Linked DNA regions of Caenorhabditis elegans. The protein of the gene in region 3 interacts with the protein of the main gene of each other region in a pairwise test. Each region holds a gene or a part of one and is shown on either strand. Other genes may lie near its edges.

The links.
Region 1: the proteins of elt-7 (region 3) and K04A8.1 interact in a two-hybrid assay, tested with the Caenorhabditis elegans proteins (one large-scale study listed by BioGRID).
Region 2: the proteins of elt-7 (region 3) and F25D1.5 interact in a two-hybrid assay, tested with the Caenorhabditis elegans proteins (one large-scale study listed by BioGRID).
Region 4: the proteins of elt-7 (region 3) and C25E10.10 interact in a two-hybrid assay, tested with the Caenorhabditis elegans proteins (one large-scale study listed by BioGRID).

What each region holds. Positions count from the first base shown.
Region 1 is NC_003283.11:6,564,516-6,569,964, reverse strand, and holds K04A8.1 (Methyltransf_11 domain-containing protein), read right to left. Parts: upstream 3,407-5,449; 5' UTR 3,390-3,406; coding exon 3,301-3,389; intron 3,234-3,300; coding exon 3,086-3,233; intron 3,044-3,085; coding exon 2,957-3,043; intron 2,910-2,956; coding exon 2,793-2,909; intron 2,747-2,792; coding exon 2,626-2,746; intron 2,576-2,625; coding exon 2,474-2,575; intron 2,398-2,473; coding exon 2,289-2,397; intron 1,761-2,288; coding exon 1,624-1,760; intron 1,583-1,623; coding exon 1,362-1,582; 3' UTR 1,218-1,361; downstream 1-1,217.
Region 2 is NC_003283.11:10,544,773-10,549,217, forward strand, and holds F25D1.5 (DeHydrogenases, Short chain), read right to left. Parts: upstream 2,012-4,445; 5' UTR 1,981-2,011; coding exon 1,711-1,980; intron 1,668-1,710; coding exon 1,479-1,667; intron 1,432-1,478; coding exon 1,057-1,431; 3' UTR 971-1,056; downstream 1-970. Other genes in the region: degt-1 (Acid-sensing ion channel 1), read left to right, coding at 1-275, 477-568, 715-806, 849-970; srd-34 (Serpentine receptor class delta-34), read right to left, coding at 2,826-3,028, 3,078-3,235, 3,282-3,481, 3,534-3,680, 3,727-3,823, 3,871-3,908, 4,256-4,309.
Region 3 is NC_003283.11:4,768,039-4,773,999, reverse strand, and holds elt-7 (Transcription factor elt-7), read right to left. Parts: upstream 3,331-5,961; 5' UTR 3,287-3,330; coding exon 3,165-3,286; intron 2,287-3,164; coding exon 2,001-2,286; intron 1,948-2,000; coding exon 1,862-1,947; intron 1,217-1,861; coding exon 1,114-1,216; 3' UTR 914-1,113; downstream 1-913. Other genes in the region: C18G1.9 (FERM domain-containing protein), read left to right, coding at 4,305-4,342, 4,389-4,485, 5,037-5,155, 5,201-5,783, 5,833-5,961. UniProt on the Caenorhabditis elegans protein: Transcriptional activator that binds to the consensus sequence 5'-[AT]GATA[AG]-3'.
Region 4 is NC_003283.11:9,053,964-9,058,451, reverse strand, and holds C25E10.10 (TIL domain-containing protein), read left to right. Parts: upstream 1-2,098; 5' UTR 2,099-2,133; coding exon 2,134-2,136; intron 2,137-2,188; coding exon 2,189-2,246; intron 2,247-2,291; coding exon 2,292-2,364; intron 2,365-2,406; coding exon 2,407-2,483; intron 2,484-2,532; coding exon 2,533-2,618; intron 2,619-2,663; coding exon 2,664-2,760; intron 2,761-2,860; coding exon 2,861-2,976; 3' UTR 2,977-3,126; downstream 3,127-4,488. Other genes in the region: C25E10.16 (Prohormone-3), read left to right, coding at 1-17; C25E10.11 (INSulin related), read left to right, coding at 120-148, 196-245, 556-803; Serine protease inhibitor swm-1, read left to right, coding at 3,620-3,622, 3,670-3,718, 3,779-3,849, 3,900-4,184.

The DNA.
Region 1 (5,449 bases), 1.8 Mb from region 3:
GCAACGTTGGCAGATCATCTTCCAAATGTTAAACTGATTACTTGGATGCCACAAAATGATATTCTTGGTGAGTAATCGTTATAAGCTTTTATATTTTTACAAATTTGCTCATATAATTTGCAGCTGATGAGCGACTAACACTTTTTATAACTCACGGTGGACTTGGAAGTTCTGTGGAGATTGCTTACCAAGGGAAACCGGCAGTTGTTGTGAGTTTTAATGATTTAGTTGGTCGTGAAGTATAAGGAAACTTACTTCAACTTTTCTATTAATTCTGCGTAGAAAAACTAGATTTTCTAAAAAAAAGTAGTAAACGAAAAAAACCATACTTTTTCCAAAAATATAATTTCAACAAAAATAAATGTTTGCGAAAATGTTGAGGTTCGGCCCTGATGTATGCCTTCGAGTTCTAAACATTTCAACTGTTAGGAAATGATTTTTCATTATTGCCACCGCTGCGGAGCGACCGGAAATCAGTCTTGCTTACAAATAGAGATATTACGGCAATAATGAAATTTTAAATGTAGAAAAATATAAAAAACACCACAACTAAAGTTGAAAACATTTTTTAAAAGTTTTACTTTTCAGATCCCATTAATGTCTGATCAACCAAGAAATGCTCACATGATCACAAGACATGGTGGTGCCCTTCAATTGGATAAAACTTTATTGAATAAACCAGAAGAAATTATAAAAGCTATCCAAACTGTTTTGAATGATGTCAATTACAAGCACAACGCAGAACGCCTTGCCAAAATTCTTGAAGAACAGCCACACAAACCGAAGGATGTGGTTCTGAAACATTGTGACTTTGCTGTTCAATTTGGTTCATTAGATACATTGAATTCAGAAGGAAGATTATTAAATACTTTCCAATTTTATTCTTTTGATATTCCTCTTGCTATTTTTGTTATTGTATGTATTATTTTGTTTGTAGTTTATCTTGTTATCAAACTTTTATTCAGGTTTATCGGACGACAATTTCCGCTTTTAAAGCAAAAAATAGATTAGATTTGGTGGTCTATGGAACTAAATTTTTTCAATAAATTTGAATAAAGTTAACTGTTATTGTATTTTGATGATTCCGCACTTCTTCAGGTTTACTAATAGATCATTCTAATATTCTCTCTCGTCGTCACGACACAACATTAAGTTACATATTATCTCGTATTTTATACTTCAGTCACGAGTTTCAATTGTGTTGTAATACACTTTCACTGAATGCAAATTTTATTTCTTGTCAAACATATTTATAAACTTATTTGCTAGTTTTTATAAAACTTATTTTGAAGTTTCGCCAATGCGAATTAAAAAAAGAAGACTCGTAATATAGAAACACACGTACTGCTAAACAGTTTTTTTTACAGTTTCCTTAAAACCAATGTATTCTGAATCTGTCCAAATATGGGTTTTGAATGAAGTCGATCAGAAGTAAGATCATTTGCTTCTTCCTTGTCTCCGGAGAATGTGTCAAGCCATTCGAAACCGTACATCATCATAGCAAGTCGAATTGATCCATAAATTCTATGCGCGTTGTATTGAATAGAATCCGTTCCCAATGGAAAACCGATGAATAACAGTCCTAAACAATGTGTTTTCTTGGGTTGAAAATATTTCCATTACCTCCTGGTTTCAAGACACATTTGATTTTTAGCATTTCTCTCAAGTCACCAAGCGGATCAACTGGATCACCGTATCTTCCTAATCCAGAATGCTCTATAGAAGAGAAGGATGCAGCAAAATCAAACGTTCCAGCATAGCTGAAAATGTTTCAATTATGTAATACATATTAGCAAACTTAATAAGTGCGCGGCACTTGCCAATCAGCATAAAAGCCAATGTGGCGGGATTCCCGAATATTTTTCATGACAATTCTGTGACCGAATATAGAAAATACGTGCTTTATTTGATAATGGTTTCTGTTTTGATATAAATAATTGAAAACCCGCTCAAAAATGTCTAAAATTTGCTTGAAAAAATATCGATAGTTTCTCTAATGTTTTTTTTTCAAACTTTCAGACAATTTTTGAGCGGCTTTCCGTTTGTTTCTATCAAGATAAGGGCTATTGTCAGATGAATATAGATGTTTATCTAAATTCTGTACCTAAATTGTGATGAAAATTATTGGAAAAAATGCCACTTTGACTCATTTTTCAGAATTGCTGATCGGCAATTGCCGCGCGCCCCTGAGCTGGTTTCTGTATCTTTTCGATTTTTAAATTTTGGGAACAAAATATTAAAGTAACATTTTTACAGTCTCTTGAATCTTTTTAATTTAAAAAGCTTACTCCCGCCAATTTTTCACAAAATCGATAGGAAGAATGGAAGACATTCTATCCCTGAATTCTTCCTGAATAGTCAATTTGTTATATTCAACAGTGAGAACTTTGGAAGCACCTGTAAAATAATTTTTATGTTTATTTTTGTTACAGCAGCGTATCTATGTATATGCGAAGCCTTGCAAAACACTAACCACTTTGAAGAGCTGAAACTTCAACCCATGGTTGCATACTTCCAATAACAACACCACTCTTTCCATCAAGCCGGTAGGCATGCATAGCGTCGTATATTGACACTGAAATACTCCATTTTTATTGAAGAAATTTAAAATTAAATTGTTTCCACCTCCATCTGATCCATACGCCAATCCCCCTAACTTTGCTCTTGGCCACTTGATGAGTTCGGAAAGATTTTCCCAATTTCTTGGCTTCTCTCCTTTTTCTGAGTTTTTATCGTTGATATACCACTGAAATTAAGAAATTTTTTTCTGAAAAAAATTGTTTCTCACATACATCACTCAGCGCTGTGTAGTTATACAATAAGAATTCATTCATTCGCTCTGCCGGAATTGTTTTTGGAGGAAATTTTGGTTGTGGTTGCTCGGAGATTTTTTGCCACGCAAAGAACACCTTCAATAAAATTCATATTAAAAAATATATATTTCATGATAATTTACCTCTTCACATGTTGGCTCGTTGATCATCCGAACTGTGGGCACCGGATAAGTGGGCCGAGTAATTTCGTAACCAAATTTTTTGAAAACCTAGAATAAATATTTTAAACAAGAAATGTGAAAAAAACTTACATTTTCGTTCAATTCATCCATTGATACATATCCTCTATAAGTTTTAATTTTGTATTCCTTGAGGTTCACAGCGGGAAATGGATCCGGCAGTTTGATCCTCGAGATCGAATTTTTCAAGCTTCGCACAGAATTACTATCATTTAAAAACCTGAAAATAATTGGAAACATTAAACTAATTTCACATTTTCTATTAATGTTTGGGGAAAATAACTCACAAAATTGTTATCATTAGAAACAAGCCAACTATGAGTAAAATTGGATAAAATCGAGACGGACATAAAAACGGATGTGCTCTGTTATTCATATTTGGAAAGCCTTTGTCTGAAAAGAGAAACAACTAATGATTGGTGGTTAGTTGTTCTGTTTGTATTGCTGAGCAATCAAACTGTGACCAATAATAAAAGAATCGAGTAGTTCGGAGAAATGAAATAGTTATTCCCAGAATATTGTCTGGAATGATGTTTATTCTTAATCAATTTATACTAAAATTGCAAATAACTAAAACTTTATTTTTAAAAAAGCCTTTAAAAAGTTTCAAGAAATCATTAAATTAAGAAAAAAATCTTCATTTCATCAGGGAACTATAATTTTTTTTCAAAAATTGTATTGCTGATGAAAATTTCAGATTGAACTTGATGTATATATATCTACAAACTATTAATTAAAATTCGAAATATTTTGTGATTTAATTGGCAAGGGCTCCAGTTTTTAGAACGTGGCATTGAGCTTTTGAGCAAGGCGGAAAATCAATGAACGAAGAAAAGTGGGTTAACGCATAATGACGGTGTGCCAAATAGTGACTGATAAAGGTGTAATGAAACATACTTTAGATTCAAATGGGCACACCCTTTTGTTTACATTAACAATACATATTGAATACACGTTGAGAAAAGATTAATAATATGAGTGTGGTTATTCATTCTAAATAAAACAAACGGATGAAATTGAAAAGGTTTTTTCTTTTTACTGTTAAATTCTTAACTTCACTCATTTTCATTTTCTACAAACAATTATTTTTCGATTTATTTCCTATTTCACCAAACTGTTTAATAAATGTATAATCAGAATTCATTTCTATATTTTTTACGTTGACTGGCAGCAGATGTGGAAAAATTCAACATTTTTGCTCAAATTTTCATTTGAAAATTTATAATAGTACTTTCTTGAATTGAAGACTATTCATTCGTCTTTTCGAATTTTTTATACACAACTCCTAACCAAAATTGAGTATTTTTTGTATACTTACAGACTTACATAGTAGGCAGAAAGATTGCATAAAAGTTGGCATTTATTTAAAAGTTGACAGAAATATAAAGTATCTTTGATAACAACCGCAATCAAGCCATTGAATGTTAAGCCTGATGAGTCATTACTTTGTCCAAGAATAATATATCTAGTTTCTTAACCTAGATATCCTCAACTTTTAATTGATTAAATATCGTGGGTTAGAAGTTAACAAGTTTTTAGCTGATTACATCTTTTAATCTTGGGTGTCCGAGGAGATACATAGCTCCAGAGAAAGGAGATTTTCATAAAATATTTATGGAGACATTTCTAATTGAAAAAGTAAAATTAACTATTTACAGTTAAAAAGACGATTGTTTTCCCCGTATTAAATTGATGTTCTTGAAGAAAAATCATTTTGTTTTTGGTAAATTTTTATTTGAGAATGTTGATGTGTAGTCAGATTAAAGTGTTCTCAAACAAAGGGTAAGATTTGAAAAATTGAATGATTAAATGGAACAAAATATCGGGCGCCTGAAAAATTAAAAAAATGCGTTTCATGTTTACACAACTAAACAATTAATTAGGAGATTTATTACAAGCAGGGTAATGTGCTTTGTTGCATTTTTTTTCAAATTCGTTACACAAATATTATTGATGGACAATGTAAAAATATTGAAACGTCCAAAGTGTCTGATTTCACTGAAAATTCAAAATTTTTTCAAACAAAAAATTGAATAGTGAAATTGGCAGATTGGATGTTTGTTTCATTTTTGAGATTCGCGAGATTTTATAATTTTATTCAAGCTAAAGCAGAGAAATCAATAGTTGTAGATGTTATATTAGCTGAGATTCAGAAAAAATATTACGATTTCGTGAACATAAAAAAGTATTTGGAATAGAATTTCATGTTCATCCTGTACAGGAAGAATAGGCTACATTAGGGAAATAGAGCAAAAGGTCGTGCAATGTGTATTTGTTATGAATATATTACGAGATGGAATTTTTATTATTAACAAATACATCACAGACTGTGTACGCGTTAGTACAAACCATAGGGAGTTAGTACAAACCATTTTAGATTTGTAAGTATTCAGATTTGTTTTCAACTCGAAAATGTGACAATGTCCTGGGACGTCC
Region 2 (4,445 bases), 5.8 Mb from region 3:
ATTTTAAAATTGATTTAAAAGAATTTGAATCATCGTATCGAGAAATAGCAAAAGACCATGTGGAAATTGAAGAAATGCTAAAATTAAGAAAAACTATGGTTACGGATATTCCAGCATTGGCGAATGAATTATCAGAAACCTTTTTGGCAGCAACAGAAAGTAGAAGAAAGTTTGCAGTATTGACAGGAATTGCTGCAGATGAAAGTTTCAGTGATAAATTTTCAAATTTCTCGAAATGTTTGGATGAACTTCACGAAAAAGCGCCAAATTTAAAGGCAAGAATAATTACTGACTTTGAAATATTCAAAATACCTAAAAATTACATTTATTTGTTTGTTTGTTTATTCGAAATTTGATAAATAGTAACAAAATGTAATACATAGAAGATCAACGGGGAAAATCGAATAATACATAAAATAAGAAAATATTTCAAAGTTTAAAAATCAAGATCTGATTTTAATTTCTATATTTTAAAGAAAACTCGATTCATCCGTGGCGAATGGCTTTCAAGACTTCGAAACCAAGTTTTGATGGCCCAGTCATATTCTCCAACTCCTCAATATGATGTGTAAGTCTTTTAAGCGTAATCTGAGTTGTGAGTAGGGTGAGCTCAGTGATGGCAAACGACGCCGCCGTGACGTCTTGTTCTAATTGAGTGTATGCGTGCAAATAAACATTAAACTTGGTACTTTCAACGGAACAAACTTTTTTCAGAGTAAATCTTCTTCACATCAAGTTCTATTTTGCACACTTTAAACAAGAGACTATTCTTCAAGAAAGATCCTACAACTTATTTTTACTTCTTGGTGAGTTTTACTCGATGTGCTTGTAACTTTGAAAGTTTTCAGCCGAAATTGGAGGAACCATTGGATTATATGTTGGAGCAACACTTCTAACTGCAGCAGAAACTCTTGTTTTTCTTTGTGAACGAAAGAAAAGTAATATATTCCTAAAACCACAATTTATATAAAAGTATTCAATGTATTTTATTGTGTATTTTACGACTATTACATTAGATAACAATGGTTAACAAAATCTGAAAAAAAAAGTTATAGTTTACTGACTAAGAACGGACATAAGATCATGTGTTTGCATTCCCATAACAAGAGTTGATCCTCCATCAGCAACAATCGATTGTCCAATAATGTAAGATGAGAGGTTTCTATCAGCCAGGAATACAATGATATTGGCAATTTCTTCTGGCTTTCCACAATGCCCAACAGGAATGCATTCTTTCCGTGAGCCAATAAAACTGTAAAGCTTGTCAGATGCAGTTTCTGGTAAACCCATCGCTCCCATGAAACCAGTGGCAACTGCTCCAGGGCTGACAGAATTTACGCGGACACCATGTTGAATAAGATCGATTGCAGTGCATCTGGTGTATTGGTCAAGCGCAGCTTTTGCGCAAGCATAATATGGATATCCAGAGTGCTGAAAATTAAAACAAAAGTTCTGAAATCCTCTCTCCCGAAGCTTACTGCTTGTGGGCCAGCAACGATACTGGAAACATTTACAATCTCTCCTTTTGTCTTTATCAAATGTTCCTTTGTTTTCTGAGTCATTTCGATCACAGCTTGGAAGTTTAACTTGAATGTTTTCTGATACAACTCCACTGGTTGATCCGTATTAGCTGTTCCGTCAGCTAAATTGGCACCAGCATTATTAACCTAAAACAATTGAGTATATTTCATTTTCTATCTATGTACATACCAAGATATCAATTTTTCCGAATTTAGCAAGAGTCGTGTTGATGATATCATCTTGTCCTGATGCTTCGGTAACATCAGCAACCACGGCATTAATCTTCTCAGCTGGAACTCCTGCTTTCAATATTTGCTGTTTGGTTTCTTCTAGGCGATCTTCATTTCTTCCAGTAATTGTAACTTGAGCTCCTTCCTTTGCAAAAATCACAGCAGCCGATCTTCCGATTCCATTAGAAGAACCAGTTATAATGACAGACTTTCCAGAAAAGCGAGCCATTATTTTGAGATTACAAAAATAAAATGTCAATCAGATGAATGTGATGTTTAAATGCAGTTTAATGTTTTCTTTTTATACTCATTGCAGTTAAAATTATTTCATGGTTGAATGGAAGTTTGTAGTTTCCGTGACTAAAATATGAAATATCTGTTTACGTAGAGAGTATTTTCAAAGTTACTTCCCGAAGAGACCATAGACAGTGTAACAATTTTTGTGACTGTTAATTCCTCTGCGTCTCTTTGAATTGTGTCTATTTTTGTGCAAGCACAGTTGAGGGAAGATCAATTGATCAAGTTTTCAATATGAAAACACAACTATGATTTCAGGAATTTTAAAATTTTATTTGCTTAAAAAAAAAATAATTTCCGTGTCCAATAGTCTTGCACCCATCTCTCCATCTTTAGCTGCTTATTTTTCGGTTGTTTTTTTAATTTTGTCAGACATTCGCCAACTAGCAAAATATAAACAATAAGCTTTTTCTTAGGGCTTTAATAACACATTTCTAGTATCGTTAAAACGTAGTGCGACACTAGACGTCAAAATGAATTAATTTGGTGAGGAAATACGGTGAATAGTCTCTCTAGATCCAAAAACTTGTTTAACAATAATTGTTTGAGAGCTTTGGCACTTTATTTTAAAGTGTAATGTTGAACTGTAAATATTTTTTCATCGTTATTTTTATTTGCAGATCTTCGAACAATGTTTTTCATTTGTCGGTATTTTTTATTACTGTTATAAAAGTGCTTGTGTAATATCTTTGAACAATGTTATTTTATTCAATTGAGCAAAGTTCCGATTACTACTCCGATTAGTCCACCACTATCATTACCAATTATTCAAAATGCTCAAAAAATGGAAACAGCCGAAATATTGTTACGTCTAACAATTGCAGGTGAAACTTTTTTGCCACAAAACGTATCCTTGAAAAACGCAATAAAGGCTTTTTGGTACGGTGTGATGGTGACAATAACAATGAACGCATCAATAGCTGTTGGAAGAGAAAGCATCATATATAGAACTTTTTCAAAATTTGAGAGAAACGGCAAGTCTGAAAATTGTCACATATTATTTTACTGTAAAAACGGACAGGAGCCTACCATAATTCTCAAGTATTAAGTGAGCTATGTATATAGGAATCACACAAACTGCAGGGACAAGTGTCTGAATCGTCAAAGCAAGATCAAACTTCTTGGCTTGAGCAGCAGTTTTATCAGTAAATAAATGTTTTAAACTGTTGAGTTTAATTTGTATTAGTCTGGAAACACATTGGTAAGTATTTCTTCGAAACTCAAATTTATTACCTAATAAACACAATACTCATGATTGGTGGGACGAAAATGCTTATCATATTCAAATTTGTTGCTAACCAGCTCCAAAAATGTTTTTGATATCCAGTGATATCCGCATAGTACCGGAAATCATATTGTGTTGAATGAAACTTCCTGGTCTCTGAAGCAACCTCAAGAGATTCGTCTGGTTCGTACGTTATCACATAGATCACCTAGAAACATTCATATTTCCATTCTAGATCAATCACGAAAAGCAAAACTCACCCCCACAATTAAAGATAGAAGGTAAGAGCTTAAAAGAATCATTCTGATTTGATTTTTAGTTATGTTTTTCATATTAATATTTGTTACTTTTGTATATTTGTAAAACAATGTAGCAGGAATTGCAAAGGACGAGGCATCAAAGACTAACTGAATTTTGAATATTTGTAAAAAATAACAATTACAGGACACTTACCTGGAAAAAATCAAAACTGAAAAAGCAAGCATTTTTATGAGTGTGTCTACAAAACCCGCTAAAAAGATATGCTGACGATTCTGGATTGTTCACAGGTCTGAAGGAACAGTGTTAGCTAAAAATTAATATTATCGTACAACTAACCTGACTTGTGTGAAGACAACTATTATGCACATGAAAAACTGTAAAGTTGAAGAATTGACAAGAAAGACACGAAAATCTTTGAATACTACGGGCGTTTTAAAAACAACTAAAAGCACGACGGAAGTTTGACTGAACATGGTAAAACCAAAATAAACCCAAAAATAAATTGGAAATATGACAGTGTCGTAAAAGGTCTGAAATTAAAGTAACTGGCAATTACTTAAATGATAATCACAGATATTTTTCATATATGACAGGCAATGAAAGATTGGCATTTTAGTATATTTTTAAAAGTTTATTTTAAAAAGCAATCTTCCAATTGATTTTTCCTCATAAATACCTAACTAGGAGACTCACCATTGGTGGAAAAAGAAAAATTACTCACATTTGCTTCCATTGTCATAATACTAGAGTTGGCATTCTCATTGGATACATCCATGTGGTAGAAATTCTGAAATTCGTAATAAGAATATTTTTGTGAAAAATATCCAAGAAGTAACGAGGATGTTTACAATCTGGTAGATTTTTCTCGATTCGGGGAAATATATACTCCCTGTGGTAATATATTACCTAAT
Region 3 (5,961 bases):
TGTTCTTTGTAATTTCTGCAGCCTTTCAAATTAAATTATTGTTCTCTAACAACAAAATATTTTTCTTAACCCACGTATTTCGAATCTTATTGGTACAATTCCACACAAAACCTGAGCAATAAAACATATTTCTCCTCACACAGCTTGGTGAATCTGCTGCGGTCACAAGTCACTAGTCCTTTTCCACAATTTCGTCATTCAGTGAGACTTCAATCATCATCTCCTCCCTATGGGACTCTTTTTTAGCCTTCTATTGTTGTACTCTCTGACCTCAACTTGGACATTTTTAGATATTAGGTTCTCCAGGAAGTCTTTGTAACTGAGTTTGCTTTTCCATAGCTCGCCGCAGTTGCACTTTGGTGTTCGACAACTTCGTGACAATTACGTGACAACTTCGTGACAATTACGTGACAACTTCGTGACAACTTCGTGGCAACTTCGTGACAACTTCGTGACAACTTCGAGACAACTTCGTGACAACTTCGTGACAACTTCGTGACAACATCGTGCCAACTTCGTGACAACTTCGTGACAACTTCGTGACAACTTCGTGGCAACTTCGTGACAACTTCGTGACAACTTCGTGACAACTTCGTGACAACTTCGTGACAACTTTGTGACAACTTTGTGACAACTTTGGGACAACTTCGTGACGCTGTAAAGCCAAACGTAGTGTTACCTTCTTTCGCGAGCCAAAAAAACGCGAAAGAGGGGCGGAGTCTGCACACTCGGCATTTATTAGAGGCTGCTTGGCAGAATATAGAAATTGATGGTTTCATCTGTCCCTGGTCTCATCGTTTCAATTTCTACATTAAAGCCCACTTTTGTATTAATATCCCACATATCACCAATTTCTCATCTTATCATAGAATCTTTCAACATTATTATTTGTAACAATATTTGTATAAGTAGTATCTCTAACGTTTTATTTAAGAAAAATAATAATGAAGTTGACATTACAAATGTTTGAATATGGTAATATCAGTGGAAAAGATGACATAGATATATAATCTTTTTTAAAAAACGAATACAAATCAGCGCATAGAACACGGTACAATTGATGTAGAGGGATACGTAATATGCTGGAAAAATGGCGATACAGTCCAAACTTGTCTATTCTTTTTTTGCTTGACGCCGCTTTCGAGTAGTTGGCTTCTGCTTGCAGAGGGATAACGGGCGTTTCACTTTGTTGTGACGGTAATACAAGTTGCAAGCACTGAAAATATTACTTTAATAGTGGAACTAATGATGTATATTTAACTAGTCATTAAAATTAATAAAATTTTAAATTCGAAATTCTAAAAAATAATCGAAAATTATAAGCAAGTTCAACTGAGAATTTTTGATTTGGAATGTAAATGTTCTAAATGTTCGAAAAAATTCAGGGGTAGGCGGCAAGTGCCATTCGGCAAATTTTTTTGTCAACAAATTTGGCAAATCGATAAATTGCCGGTTTGCCATTTTGCCGGAAATTTTCATTTCCGACAATTTGCCGATTTTTCGGAAATTGAATTGATGATTTTTGTTTTTAGAGGGATTTTTTATAAGACGGAAACATTTAAAACTGTGCATTTTTGAAATGTTTTCTCCGTTTTCTTTAGATATTTTCACAGAACTTGCTTACTTTTCAGAATAGATGTAGGAACATTCATAGGATGCGTACAATTTTGCCGATTAAAATTGAAATTCGGAAATTTCCAAAAAAAATGTGCAAAACCACAAATTGCCGAAAATTTTCGGCAAATTCGGAAAATCGACAAATTGCCGGTTTGCCGATTTGCCGACTTGCCAGAAAAACAATCGGTTGCCGCGCACACCTGGTAGAAATAATATAAAAGAATATAATAAAATATAAACTTACTTGCACTCAAGATTCCCTTCATCATTTTTACGCCAAAGTGTGGTTGTAGTTGTTGAGCAGTGTGAGCAGCACGCATCACGAATTACCTGAAAAATTTCATATAGAAATATTTATTTCATTCTAAACCCTCGAATCCTACTTTTGCAATTTTCTTTCCCTTCTGTGAACCAAATCGGTTTCCAGATGATTCGTAACTGCTATCTTGCTCCACAAAGGATTTTTGCTCATTTTCATTTTTCGTCAAGCTTTCATCAAAAATAATTCTGGAATCTTCAAGTGGTTGTAATGGAGTAGTACACATTGACGACTGAATTGGTTGTTCGTATGGAGATGGAATTTGATAACTCTGGAATGGATCAAAGTGATGAGTTGAAGCATCTTGCCAAGTATTGTAGTACACGGGCTGCGGTGGGTAGACATATGGACTGAAAAGTTGGAGTTTTTATTCTCTCAAGCTGAGCTGAGTTTGTAGTACATTTGTGGTGCAGGAGACTAGGCAAAAGATTTGTAAGCAGTTGGTAAAATTTGGCAGGAAAAGTTAAGCGGAAAGTTGTTAAAATTTGTCAGAAAGTTGCCAAAAGTTTTGCAAGAAGTTGCCAAAAGTTGGAAAAAAGTTGCCAAATGTTGTCAAAAAGTTGCCAGAGCTTGGCAGGACGATGCCAAAAGTTGGCAAAAAGTTGTTAAACTTTAAAAGAAAGCTATCAAAAGTTGGCAGAAAGTTGCAAAAAGTTGTCAGAAAATGTCCAAAGATTGACAGAAAGTTGCAAAAATTTTGCAAAAAGTGTTAACATTTGAAAGAAAGTTACGAAAGGTAGACAGAATTTTTTAACTGCTTTGTAGGAAATTGTTAAACTTTGAGAGAAAGTTGGAAATTACCTACAATTGCCAAACAGGAAACATGTTAAGTCATACACTTTAAGCCATTCCCAGCATGAAACTCGTTTTTCAGACTCTCAAATTATAATAATAAACCTTAAAAAATATAATAATTCTCAAAGATTCCTATTCTCAAAAACACTGAAAACTACTGATTATAAGCAGTATACTTTGGAGCATTCGATATTGATTTTTATCAGTTATGCTACATGAGTTCAATAAAACATAGTTTTGGTCACATGTTGGAACAAAGTTGTTGTTTTTGTATACATTACTACAGGAAAGTAATATTTTGGTAGTAATGTAAAAACCATATAATTCTGTTGATAGTGAATATTTCAATTTAAGTTTGCCGTAAAAATAATACAATTACATTATGCAACATTTTTATGCACTGCAATAAAACAGTTTTGATTTCAAAACTTACTTTTGATTATATTGAAATTGATTAAATAAATAATAGTCCTCCATTGGACTTCTCGCTGGCGGCTCATTCATGATAGTCGTAACAGATGGAAGTGGTTGAAGAGTAGTAGTTTCAGGGAGCATTTTTTCCAGTCGACTAGAGCAGACAACTCTAACCACAAATGTCTGTCTTTGTTACAGGCAGGAAAGTAACAAAGAGCCCGGAGAGATCCTAGAGAAAGAGACAAAAAAGGTCAGAGTGATAAGATAGACCGGCGGCGGTGGTGATGGGGAACTGTGTGTGGCTCACCACCCATCATTAGTAGTTTATGATATAATGACTATGAACCTGGACGGCAAAGTTCTTAAAGGGAAGGAGAACGAAAGTAAATATGACTTGGGACTTTTATGGATAGTCGTAAATTAGTGGTAAGTCAGAGATGCATGTACCTATGCCTTGTGTGCCAGTGGACGAGCAAAAAAAGGAAACATGGGAAAGAGGGGGGGGGGGTGCGGCAAATCTCAAAATTTGCAGAGTCCGGCAAAACCGGCAAATTTGACAAATTTGCCCTGGTCGGCGAACCCGGAAAATCTCGATATTTTAAAACTATTTTTTGGATCACAAAATTGACGAAAAAGCTTTAAAAGTGTAGCATTCTGGAAAAAAAATTTTTTTTAAAGATACTCACAAAATTTTGTGTTATTTCATTCATTTCTTTCTTCTAAACTCAAGGCAAATTTTAGAGTATTCCGAGCTTAACAAATGGCAAATTGGACAAATTTGTCGCGAATGGGAAATCTTGTTCCAAGTTGAAATGCTGTGTCCTGGAGGAAGTGTGCAATTATTTTTTTTTAAGTTGAAGTAATGTGCAAAAGGGGCATAAACTGATTGTGAGAGTGCATAGTGTTTATAATTTAATTCTTGTATTATCGGTAGCCTATTTCTAACGTGTTTTTTTTTAAAATACATATAATTTATTTAAAATGAATGCTTGAAAAATCAACATGGAATGTAGTTTTACGTAAACTGTATTTTTCTATTAAAAAAAGTGTAGATTTGGAAAAAGATAAGAATTCAGAACTGTGAGAGGCGATTTTAAATTCATTATTTTTATTCAAATTACTAGCATTCGCGGCTTCTCAACTAACCGACTAACCCCCAATGTGCGTCTCGAGACCAGGATTGAGTACAACTCGGAGGTAATATAAGGTATTAGAATTACGAGTTCTCAGTTAACCGCTACAGATCTCGACACGAAATTACTTACACCACACAAAATGAGGAATCTGCAGAAAATTGGTATAAGATGGCTAATTCGAATTTCCGATCGGCAGTGTTTGAGGTATGAATCCCGATTTTTATAATCGGAACTTTGTGCCTACAGTACCCGCATGTGTTTCAAAATTACCTCTACAGTTTATTTTTTCCACTTCTACGACTTTAAAGGAGGGCGCATTTATTCAAAATGGTCCCGCCACGCTCCACCCATTGGTCTCGCCACGCGCTTCAAAAATCAATGAATGGCGCGTGACGAGACCATTTTGAATGAATGCGCCCTCTTTTGAAGTCGTAGAAGTGGAAACAAATACACTGTACTTTTGCAATTTCGCTCAACTTTTCGCAATTAATAGCGCTAAAACTCCGGGTTTTTGAAAAAAAAAACCAAAAGTACGGGGAAATGGAGAAATATGTGCGCGGAAATACTGTACCTGGTCTCGGCACGATTGAAACCTTTCAGCTACCGTACACCACAAGTTTTCGTAATCGTCTATTTCTAGACTTTCACCAAATTCATAGCGCTAAAATGTGTTTTTAGTGAAAAATTGAGGAACATTTGCGGATACGATACCTAAAAAGACCCACTACCGTAACATAAACAAATATAATTTTCAGAACCGTGTCCACGTGTGGGCACTCCCACTGAGCTATTCTCAATCGAAATATGGTGGCCGGAAGACTCCCTCATCTGCTTGCACAATAATCACTGTCCAGATTGCTCACGATTTCTTGAGGTTTGTGAAATTTTAGTGCGATCGAAAAGTAAATCCATCTTTTAGCAAGAACGTCTGTATCCCACCCACGCATCCTTTGACACCTCAACATCTTCCACTTGGCGTCCTCGATGTTCTTATTAACGGAATTGTTGATGGCAATGAGACACACGAAAAGGCTATGGCAGCTCGACGACGAGGATTCAGTGGAAGTCTAAAAAAGAAGCATCTTGAAGAGACAGGGGAAAGTGGTTCAGTCTTCCAATTTTTGAAGAAACCACATCGAGACACGTTCACTGTGCCAGAAGCTATTCAAGTTCAGCGGCCCGAGATGCATGAGATTGACTACCCATGCTATTCTGGAGACTTTATTAGCAATCTCGTGACAGCTATGTCGATGGCTGTAAACAGTCCGTATCTCTCGAAACTCGATAGATTGGCAATTGGAGTGCTTGCTTTCGAAAGGGCCATGTGTTTTATCTACGATCGCCCGACAAATTCAATAATTCTTCTCGACACTCATATGCATTTTAAAGGACAAGCTGGAAGTGTTCTCTGTGTTGCATCGTTTGAAGATATTACGGATTTCATCGTTTCGGTAACTAAGCTCGTGTTCCATGAAGTTTTCAAAACTGCAGATGTCACCGGTGTAAGTTCCAACTTTTCTCATTTCTAGGTTATACTTTAACTTTTTACAGCAGTTCGAAATTACATGCCTGATGCTTACAAGTCTGATGAACAAAGTCCACAGAGGAGACATCTTTCTTCCAGTCAAATCGAGCATGCCAAGAGTCATACCAGTAAAACCTTTGAGGCCCTTTAGAATC
Region 4 (4,488 bases), 4.3 Mb from region 3:
CTCCACTTACAACATAAACCTATAATTATTCAATCCTCGTAAACATTATGAGGTTTTTTTTCGATGGTGCTACCTTAATTTTTTTAAAATTTTCCTTCAACCAATATTTTTTTCTTAAAATGGCATCCTTTCGAGCAATATACATATCGTGAGTTCATTTCGATTATTTTCCAACTTCAATATTTAAACTTCCAGGGTGACTTTAATGTCTATAGTCATCATATATCTCAACTCGTTCGCAAACGGTAAGCATTTCTGTAACAAGATTTATTCGACTGGCCAAATCTGTAGTGATGTTTTATGGCAAACAAGTGAAATATAAATCTTGTATCATTGCAAAAAAGTAACCAATAATAAAACTATTCCAAAAATTTGATTCTTGGATGGTTTTTACTTTCACTTAATTATATTTTCGTTGAACAAATTTTGAATGTTTTTTTTTGTTTGCTCGAAAAACTTCTGATTTAATTTCTGATTGGCTTCAGCTATTACTTATGACTTTATTTTACATTTTCCAAAACACGCAGTTTTACCACGACTAACAAATAATTTCAGAAGACAAACCCAGATTGGCTCGGGAAAACCGTCCCTATACTATTCTCAGTACTCATTTAAATTTGAAAGATTACGATCGGCTTTGTTTGAATGGACCAACAGTGAAATGTTACGGAGAGACAGTTTGCAAAGTTGCAAAAGTAGAATGTCTTCCAAATAAAACATGTGATCCGTTGATGGCAATTTGCTCGGATAAATCTTTCGAGGACTATCAAGACAGAAAATTCAATTATACTTCTTCTCGTTAGGCACATTTCCTTTTATTTTTCGTAGTCACGCAATGCATTTTCCCATGTTTTCCTTTTTGATTGTTTTCATTCACTTCAGTTTATAGAAATGAAGTTACTTTTTCTGTTCTGTTATTTTATATTTCTGGCTAAATATTCACATTCACAACTACCAGATGCATGTGACTTTGTAACATGTTACGGTCAATCCATATGTATTCCTGTGCCTATTCCATGTATTAACAAGCCATGTCCTGTTGGCCCCGCTTGCAAGATTTTTGCATGTCCAGAAGGAAGCAATCCAAGAGATCATTCAAATTGTATTTTGCTAAAAAAATCGACACTGTGATGGAATTTTGTGAATTTCATACAGTGTAATAAATCAATTTTCAAATGTCAGAATAACCAAACGATTTCTAACAAACAATGCCAAAGTTTTTATATATAAGCTTGAGGGAATTGTCAAGAAGTTTGTAGACTTGCCAAAACTTGTACTTGAATAATCAAAAAGTTATTATCTGAAAGCTTCTTTTAAAAAATTTTCGACGGAGCAAACTGTTTTGAGAGCAAACTAACCACATAAACGTGTTTAAAATTATCAATTTTCAATAGGAGACTTCTCATAAATGAATTAGATTTAGGGGTATTGGAATTATTGGAACTGGAAAGTACCGTGTTTTATCTATTAGAATCACACCTATTGTTCGACTTTGGCAGCTGATCAGCGTATCTCAATTGTCGTTTGTTCTAAACAAAGATTGTTAGCTGACAAAATATTTATTGTTTGTTTCTTTTACTATTTTTTTCACAATTTGGAAACAACGTTAAAAATTTTTGAACGGCTGTACACAGTTTTTGAGTATTTTTGCGAGTTATTTTTATGAAGTTTCTGGCTTTTGGAGCTATTTTGAATATATTCAAAGCCCATCCCAGCAGTTAATCTTCTGTTCCAACAGTCTTGAGTTTTTGCTTGTATATAATAAAAATACTCAAATGGGCAACTTTCATAATAAGACTTCTCAAAAAAATTGCATAATTTTTGAGATTTCTCATTACCAAAATTTTGCCTAGGGCGCATTTTGAGTCTATTCAAGCAAAAACCGAAAACAGTTACTTCTTTGTTCTTCTCAGGCGTACTTTCGTAGAAAGTAATTTTGTAAATAACATATTTTTAAACTTAAAAAAACAGCACTCAAGAAATATTCCGGTCGGCTGAACTCTCTCCGGTCTCACCAAGTCATTAATCTTTTGACTCATCCTCGGTCTCACGCCTGTCAATTTTATTTCAATGATTGCTTCCTTCTCATAACTTCCCCACTCCGAAAGTTTCTTCAGAAATTCTTTCATCAAAATGGTGAGTGGTTTTTTCTTCATATCTTACAACAAATGAAAGTGTGTTTTTTCAGAATTTTCAATTATTTATTTTCTTTGCTCTTCTTGCTTTTGCTAGATCTGGAGTTCTTAGTGAGTACCAAGGTTTTATTTAAAAATCAAATGACTTATTTTCAGAAAACACAGAAAACATGCCCATTTCTCACACAGACGCACTCTGTGGTTCTATCAAATGTCCTGATAATTATAGGTTTTAATATTTCCAATTATAAATTTTAAAATATTTTTTCAGATGCGAACTGCCAGTCAGTGACTTGGAATGTGGTTCTGAAGACGATTGTTCAGTTGATCCAAAGTGCGTGCCAATCCGTAAGTGTAGTGAAACCAAAAATATCCAGTGGTTCTTGGAAACTTCCAGCAATCCGCAAACCGGAATGTGAGGGCGATGAAGAGCTCAAGGCGTGTGGCTCAGCGTGTGAACCGACATGTGATAACGAGAATCCAGTAAATCAACGTTGAGATTATGTATGATCATAAATTGTTTCTCAGGAATGTGATTTGGTGTGTATGACAAACGTCTGCCAGTGTAAGAAAGGACTCGTCAGAGACTCGGCAACTGGAAAATGTGTGGAGAAAAATAAATGCAGTAAGCTTCAAAATTTATTACTAGACTTTAACCAATTTAACCATCAGTGATTATTCGCTGAAAACCTGCACATAATACTAGTCATAAATTTTTCATTCAGGCAAATGCACTCTTGAATGCTCTGAGAACGAAAAATGTGAACTTGTGGAGCTGACTTGTGAGGAGAAACCATGCCAAATTGTGGACGTATGTGTTGCACAACATACCACTGAATAATATTTTCGATGATTAAAAAAAAAGTTGTTTTTCTCATATTTTAATATTGATGTTTTCATGCTAATGTTTTCAGAAAATTTAAAAATAACAATATTCGAATTTTAACATAATATTTGTATTCCTTTTCAATAGCCAAAAAACTTATGAACTATTCCGTGTTGCAATACAATGAATACAAAAAGTCAGTGTTAACCAAACAATGTTAAGTTGGTAATTATGGATGAAACACATTCGAAATACTCTCCAGTGAGCCAAGCCAAAACTATTTGCACCAAGCGATACGTTTTAAATTGATATCTTCTAGTGAATTGATTCATTAAAATCATTGGTCGGAATGAAATTTCGTAAGGTTCTCGATTTAATGTGTTTCTGATTTTTTCTGAATTTTCGAATACAAATTCTTCGAGATTTTTAAACCTTTGTTGTGAGCCCAATTTACAAAATAAATACGTGACCGGTGAAAGATAAATTTCTCTCCAAAAGATTGAGAAGACCTATAATATCTCCCATTCGATCTTATCATGTTTCTCGTATCATCCCTTCCGAAAAAAAGGGCGGTTCTGCCGTTTTTTAGTGTTCCGGCACAATAAATAGAGCCGTTAAAAAGCAAAACATCGGTTGGTTGCCCTTCGTTATTGTGAAAATGGTGAGTTTTTGAGTTTTTTTTCTAATATAAAAATTATACACTTACAGAGGATACTTGTCATAATCACATGCATCGTTGCTGTTGCTACCGCCACAAGTAAGTAAATATATGTGATTTGGTACTTGAACGGTTACCAGATCATAAATATTTTTTTAGAAACATGTGAAGCCAATGAGGAGCTGGTATCGTGCCATAATACATGTGAACCACAATGTGGATATACCCCTGTAACAATTAACTTAATGTGTCTCCCATTACTGAAAGTTTCAAAATTTAGAAAGCTTGCACGGAGCAATGTATCATGAACACATGTGACTGTAAAGACGGATTTGTTCGTAATTCTCTTGGAAAATGCGTCGAAGTATCTGAATGCACCAAGGAAACTACAAAATGCCCAGAAAATGAGACATTCTTTGGCTGTGGAACAGCTTGTGAAGCAACTTGTGAGAAACCAAATCCAACAGTTTGCACTAAACAATGTATCGTCAATGTCTGCCAATGCTCCAAAGGTTTCGTTCGTCATGGACTCAGATGCATTGATAAGAAAGATTGTCCAAAATAATTTGTTTTTGAGTAAACATTTCCAAGTTCAATAAACCATCAAATATTGGAAAAAATTCAAAAAGAAGTGTGATGAAGGAAACTGGAGTTGTGTGCTATTATTGATAACACAATTGTTACATCAGTATTATTTTTCCTGGCATGAAAAACTAAAAAAAACTCTGTTTGATCTTTTGGATTTATTGGTCATCGTTTTTTTTCAATGTCTATGTCTCTGGCAAACAAAAGGGCGGTTTTGATAGACTAGAGTCCTCTGCGTGATTTAGTGTTCTCGAACAATAAATAGAGTCATTTCAAAAGAAAAC